Canis lupus familiaris: one gene and its partner. Each later gene encodes a partner of the first gene's protein in a complex. Links are inferred from orthologs where the notes say so. Each region holds a gene or a part of one and is shown in the gene's direction. Other genes may lie near its edges.

Region 1 (4,146 bases):
AGCAAATGAGTTGGGAACAGCATAACATACACGATCAAGAATATCCTTTTGTACTGAACAGACAACACAACAGTCTATAAAGCAGAGGTTGCCAAACATTTTCTGCAAGGCACCAGAGAGTAAAAAATTTAGGTTTTATGGGACATATCCCAAGCACAATCATCCAATCTTAATGTGAAGGCTTCATAGATAAAATGTAAATGAGGAGTATTTGAACACATAACTTTCATGTATCACAAAATATTATTTTCGATGTTTCCACAACCATTAACAAATACAAAACCATCCCACTGGCTTTAAAAAAAAAACCAGCAGAGGGCTGGATTTGGCCCACCAGCTTAGTTTGCCCACCTCAGGTCTCCAAGACAATCAAACAAAACGTTCACTGCAGGTATTTTCTTGTGATGATCTGAGATTATACTTTTCTCCCCTTTATTGTGGTGTTTTTTTGGGGACAGTTTCCTCCCAGATACCTGCATGGCTCATCCCTTCGGCCCTCTAAAGCTTTGCTCAAGTACTCCATTCCAGTCAGGCTTGCCCTGAGCACTCTATTTAAAACTGCAACCAACCCACCTACCCATCTCCTTTGGCCTGCATTGTTTTGGGGGAGGGGGGTTGTTTTCATAATATGTATCACTTCTTCATATACTAAATAATTTAATTTAATTTTATTTTTTAAAAATATTTTATTTATTTATTCATAGAGACACACACACAGAGAGGCAGAGATACAGGCAGAGGGAGAAGCAGGCTCCATGCAGAGAGCCCGACGCGGGACTCGATTCAGGGCCTCCAGGATCACGCCCTGGACTGCAGGCGGCGCTATACCGCTGCGCCACCGGGGCTGCCCTAAGTAATTTAATTTTAAATACACTTATTATCTATGCCCCTTTTTCCTCCCAATCCCCAAGACTGTAAGCTCCATGAGATCAGGCTTATTATATTTAGTGTAGTAGAAGCTCCTAGAATAATGCCTGGTACATGCTAGATCACCAAATATCTGTTGAATGTATGCATGAGTATTATTTTTAAAATTAAAAACATACAAAACAAGCCTGAGTATTTGAATCCCAACCCTAAGGAAGAAGTCCACAAAACGCCAGGCACAAGGTCCGTTTGCAGTGCTCCCCCTTCTCCAGCTTCCCAAGTCCCCCCAGGACACCTCCCCCAACTCCCCGCCCCCGGGGCCAACCACGCGCAGCTGCTCCCGGCGACGCCTCCTGCTGCCACTAGGAGACGCGCGAGCCGGGCCGTCCTCGAAGCACAAACCTAGTTGCACGTGACCCGCGCCGCATCCACGTGACCGGCGTCGCACCCGGTGGGCGTCACGTGACGGACTCAGCTTTCCGCCAATCGAGCGCGTTTCGGGGATTCTGCCCAGGACTCGGGCCGAAACTTAAAACGCCCCACTCTCCCGCCAGCCAAACGGCGCGGCTGCCTGCTTCCAGGGTAGCCGCGGTGTCTCTCAAAAGTCTTCTTCTAAAGCGGCTTAAGGAGGCACGGGCCTACAGCGCGTTCAGTCCCGGAAGTGACGTCTCCCAGAGGGGCCGGAAGTGGCAGTGGAGGGAGGGAAGATGGCGGAGGTGGTGAGTCCGGTGCCCGGGGCGGGGCGGAGGGAGCCAGGGGAGGTGGGTAGAACCCGAGGCCCCCCAGTAGCCGACCCTGGCGCCGCGCTGTCTCCCCAGGGGGAGATAATCGAGGGCTGCCGCCTGCCCGTGCTTCGGCGGAACCAGGACAACGAAGATGAGTGGCGTGAGTGACGTCGGGGGGCGGGGTTAAGGAACCTGAGGGCGAGGGGCGGGAGTCAACGGAACCCTCGGGAGGGGGTGGGGCCTCTATAATCCTGGGGCGGGCGGGGCGCCGATACCCAGGAGGGGCGTGGCCTTCTGCCGCTCCGAATGGGTAGGGCGGGGCTTGGAAAGGGGGCGGCACTTGGTGATTGAAGGGGGTTTGGGCGAAAGCCTCCAAGTCCTGGGGCTTAGGTATCGGCCTGACGGTGGAGATCAGGTCTTAGGAGGGTGAATTCTCCTCGCCTGGCTCCTCTAAGGCTCCTGCCTGTGTTGTTTCCACAGCCCTGGCCGAGATCCTGAGCGTGAAGGACATCAGTGGCCGCAAGCTTTTCTACGTCCATTACATTGACTGTGAGTCCTGGGCTGGGTGAGGTAGGGCTGCGGGGAGGGGTTGGGAAACAGTCTCTGGCATTCCTTCCTGAGCCATCCCCACTGCTACAGTCAACAAACGCCTGGATGAATGGGTGACCCACGAGCGGCTGGACCTAAAGAAGATCCAGTTCCCCAAGAAAGAGGCCAAGACCCCCACCAAGAACGGACTTCCTGGGTCTCGCCCCGGCTCTCCAGAGAGAGAGGTGGTGAGTAGGTCCCCTGCTTCACCTTTTCTCTCCTGCCTCCTACTTTTCTCATCTCTTGGCCTCAGGGGTTTTTGGATGGGTAGAAGTCTGCACCCTTCTACTCTGGCTTTAGCTTGCAAAAGGATGGGGGCCAAATTGTAGCTTCCAGAGTCCAGTAGCTGTTCCTGTGTCCTTGAGAGGGCAGAGGGTGGGACTTGATCATGCTGAGGGGCCCTACTCCCCTTTCCCATCCCACCACCATCCCCACCCTAGAGGAAGACCCTGGACCTATCTCTACAGCCGGCCTCCGCCCAGGCCAGCGGGAAGACCTTGCCAATCCCGGTCCAGATCACACTCCGCTTCAACCTGCCCAAGGAGCGGGAGGCCATTCCCGGTGGCGAGCCTGACCAGCCGCTCTCCTCCAGCTCCTGCCTGCAGCCCAACCACCGCTCAACGGTACCCTCAGCAATTCCAGGGACCTTGCTTTCCTCTGAGGTCCCACCTTCTCTACCGTCTGACCCACCTTTCTTGGTTTCTCTCTACAGAAACGGAAGGTGGAGGTGGTTTCACCAGCAACTCCAGTGCCCAGCGAGACAGCCCCAGCTTCAGTTTTTCCCCAGGTGAGTCCCCCAAACCCTTTTTTTCTTCCTCTTGTCTACTCTCTGGCAGCCCCGATCAGGCTCCTCTCACAACCCTCCTTTCTTGTTCTCATTATTTTACCTACAGAATGGATCGGCCCGTAGGGCAGTGGCAGCTCAGCCAGGACGGAAGCGAAAATCAAATTGCTTGGGCACTGACGAGGTAGGTCTGAGGAAGAGGGAAGCTAGGTGAAAAGGAGGAAATATAGGTAGCACAGAGAGTTTACTGATGGGTTTAAAAATAAACAAGAAGGGGCACCTGGCTGAGTCAGAAGAGTATGCCACTCTCGATCTTGGGGTTGTGAGTTCGAGCCCCACCTTGGGTGGAGATTATTAAAAAATAAATAAACTCGGGCAGTCCCGATGGCCCAGCGGTTTGGCGCCGCCTTTATCCCGCGGTATGACCCTGGAGACCCAGGATCGAGTCCCACGTCGGGTTCCCTGCATGGAGCCCGCTTCTCCCACTGCCTGTGTGTCTGCCTCTCTCTCTCTGTGTCTGTCATGAATAAATAAATAAAATCTTTAAAAATAGGGCAGCCCGAGTGGCTCAGCGGTTTAGCACTGTCTTCAGCCCAGGGTGTGATCCTGGAGACCGGCATCAAGTCCCATGTCGGGCTCCCTACATGGAGCCTGCTTCTCCCTCTGCCTATGTCTCTGCTTGTCTCTCTGTCTCATGAATAAATAAAATCTTAAAGAAAAAAAAAAACTTTAAAAATACATAAATAAGTAAACTTAAAAAAATAAACAAGAGGTGGTAGGCAGTGATGGTTTTTGGCAGGATTAGGAGCCAGGCAAAGCTGATTCAGATCAGTCATTGGTGATCTTTTTCAAAGTGCAATTGATAATTTACCTAGTTTCCCTTCCCTTATCTGGAAAGTGGGGAATACAATGTAGTACCAGCCTTTTTCTTCCTCTGCCATAGAGTTGTTGTTACACTTTGAAAATAAGGAAAGCTATGTAAGGGTTGTGTGAGCTGTCGGGTGTCCTGCTTGAGCTGTCTTCTGTAACCTGGTGTTTTCCACTGGGCCTGGGCAGGATTCCCAGGACAGCTCAGATGGAATACCGTCCGCTCCACGCATGACTGGCAGCTTGGTGTCTGACCGCAGCCACGACGACATTGTCACCCGGATGAAGAACATTGAGTGTATCGAGCTGGGCCGG
Region 2 (2,766 bases), on another chromosome or scaffold:
GAAAACTACGGTCCAGGGAGATTGAGTGATTTATTCAATGCATATAACTATGTTGGCGCTAGGATTCAGGTAATTCCTGTCTTACTCTATAAAATAGAAAACTTTTCTTTGAAATTGTCTAAAGTTACTCTGTCCATTATAGTAGTCACTGAGCACATTTGGTTATTTAAGTTCAAATAAAATGAAAAATTCAGTTCCTCATTTGTACTGATCACATTTTTTACTTTATTTTGTTTAAAGATTTTTTATTAAGTAATCTCTACACCCAATGTGGAGCTTGAATTCACAGCCTTGAGATCAAGACTTGTATGCTCTACTGAGCCAGCCAGGCACCCCTGTACTGGTCACATTTTAAGTGCTCAGTAGCCACATGTGGACAGTACAGATACAGAACATTTCCATTGTTGCAGAAAGTTTTTTTGAACAGTGTCAGTCTAAAATATAACTTACTTTCATAAACCAGATTTAGTTGGGTTCTTAAAGAAGACCTATATAAGTTAGGTAGAGGTTGTTAGAACACAGGATAACTATAGTTTTTTTGTTCTTGTTGGAATGAATAACTACCAAACAGTGAAAAATGTGTCATGGCTTTTTATTCTCAAACTGAATATTTGGTTTTTAAGGATGAAGAAGATGATGATGATTACGTTGAAGAAGGGGAAGAAGAGGAAGAAGAGGGTGAGTTACATTATCTGCAAAAAATCCCAACATTAAAGTTATAGCTATTATTCACGTACTTTAAAGAATGAGTTTATAGTTCAAATTATTACTGATCTTTGATTTGATTTTGGTAACATAGAGCACTTTGAGGGATGTAAAACCTTTTTTTTTTTTTTTTTTTTTTTTTTTGAGAGAAAGAAAGAGCCTGAGTGATAATGGAGGTTGGCAGGAGAGAGAGAATCTTAAGCAGGCTCCAGGCTCAGTGTAGAGCCTGATGTGGGTCTCGATCTCAAGACCCTGAGATCATGACCTGAGCCGAAATCAAGAGTTGGACACTTAGCCCACTGAGCCTCTTAGGCACCCTGAGATGTAAAACCTTTCTTGAAAGAGTAATTTTCTCAAGGCATTTAATAATTTCATTTAAAAAAACCACCCAGCCTATAACATTTCTTTCTTTCTTTTTTTTTTTTTTTTTTAAAGATTTTATTTATTTATTCACGAGAAACAGAGAGAGACAGAGAGACAGAGAGAGAGAGGGGCAGAGACACAGGCAGAGGGAGAAGCAGTTTCCATGGAAGGAGCCCAATGCAGGACTCGATCCCGGGTCTCCAGGATCACACCCTGGGCCGAAGGCAGGCGCTAAACTGCTGAACCACCCAGGGATCCCCCCCACGCCTTTTCCCCTTTTTTCTTAAAGATTTTATTAACATTTATTTCTATAACCGGTATGAACAGAGATAAGAGAGAACCTTGAGCTTAATTTATTATTTTCTTAGGTCTTTCATTTTGAAGAAGGTGAAGCCATATATCTAAGAGAAGAGCTGTTTTATTTCCAGATTACAGCCTTTTCAGATTTGCTTTCTAGTACTCATTACCTAGGCCTTCCATAATAAGTTTAAAAATTTACTAATGATTCTCTTTTATTGACAAGCCCCTGGGTTCTTGATCTGTACTTCATGATTTGGCCACAAGGGTGCACAGCAAACTGTCATTGTTTATGGATTTCTAAATCTATTAAGTCTGTTCAGTACACTGAAGTTAAATTCAGAGAGGAAACAATGTATAATTTTTTATGCCAGTAAGTTTTCACTAAGATAGATTCAAAACTTTGTAATTTAGCAGATATTCATTTGGTAAAATTGAGTATTTTACTGGTTTTTTTCACTCTTTTTTCAGAAGAAGAAGGTCTTCGAGGGGAAAAAAGGAAACGAGATGCTGAAGATGATGGAGATGAAGAAGATGACTAGATCATTCTAAGACCAGATTCCCTAATGTTCCTGGGTGTGCAATAGAGTGATCACATCTTCTTTGTTTCTTCATGTACCATAGCGATCCCTACAGAAGATAACCTGTAACTTTTTATAGGAAAAGTGTGGTTTTACTATTTTTGCCTTATCATTCCAAATAAGATTTACTAGTCTGTTAATGATCATATTGTATGTAGAGAAAAAAATTTTCATTGACCCCATTGTGAAATTCTCTAGCAATTTATTTAGAATCTTCATTTTTCTCATTCAAGCTCACTGTATTAGTTATTTTTAGCCCATAATTAAAAACATGATCACTTTTACACAGGCGTAGTTTGGTGCATTTCATTTATAAGGTTTTAAAGTTATTTATAAGTTAACTGAAATCACAGTCGGCTGGAATATGAAATGAAAATAATCTCTTGACTGATAAGTTGGTTATATTTTTAGAGGTGACCCAGAGATCTCTAGCTTGAAGGCAATGACCTTTTGGGGGAGGGCTAAGGGTATTTGGGTGCTTTTTTGTCACATCAGTAACTTAGAAAGTAGGAAAATAGCAAAGGTTCTATTCAACAATATAGTTCATGGCTTTTGTGGAGGCTTCTGAAACCTTTTAAGCCAGGTGACTAATATTTTATTTTTGAAGGAAAATTGCTTATACTAAGTTCAGATTCATGCAGCTGAGCCTTTGTTTTTCAAGCTGAAGATCACAAAATATCAACGGTTGTTTATTTTGTTTTCAAGTGCACATTCTTTATTTTCCTCCCAGCTATTCCTTTATGATGACTTCCATTTCTTGTTTCACCCCCCGCCCTTTTTTTTAAAGATTTTATTTATTTATTCATGACAGACACAGAGA

Evidence for each region. Proteins that work in one complex are often made in the same cells at the same time.
Region 2: KAT5 (region 1) and ANP32E share a complex: the UniProt entries of both Homo sapiens proteins name them as parts of the SWR1-like complex. The link is inferred for Canis lupus familiaris from reciprocal best matches to the Homo sapiens genes KAT5 and ANP32E.

What each region holds. Positions count from the first base shown.
Region 1 is NC_049239.1:52,006,322-52,010,467, reverse strand, and holds the start of KAT5 (histone acetyltransferase KAT5), read left to right. Parts: upstream 1-1,330; 5' UTR 1,331-1,574; coding exon 1,575-1,752; intron 1,753-2,072; coding exon 2,073-2,141; intron 2,142-2,231; coding exon 2,232-2,368; intron 2,369-2,620; coding exon of another isoform or gene 2,621-2,647; coding exon 2,648-2,803; intron 2,804-2,892; coding exon 2,893-2,967; intron 2,968-3,073; coding exon 3,074-3,148; intron 3,149-4,020; coding exon 4,021-4,146. UniProt on the Homo sapiens protein: Catalytic subunit of the NuA4 histone acetyltransferase complex, a multiprotein complex involved in transcriptional activation of select genes principally by acetylation of nucleosomal histones H2A and H4.
Region 2 is NC_049238.1:60,119,427-60,122,192, reverse strand, and holds the end of ANP32E (acidic leucine-rich nuclear phosphoprotein 32 family member E), read left to right. Parts: intron 1-623; coding exon 624-678; intron 679-1,836; coding exon 1,837-1,907; 3' UTR 1,908-2,230; downstream 2,231-2,766. UniProt on the Homo sapiens protein: Histone chaperone that specifically mediates the genome-wide removal of histone H2A.Z/H2AZ1 from the nucleosome: removes H2A.Z/H2AZ1 from its normal sites of deposition, especially from enhancer and insulator regions.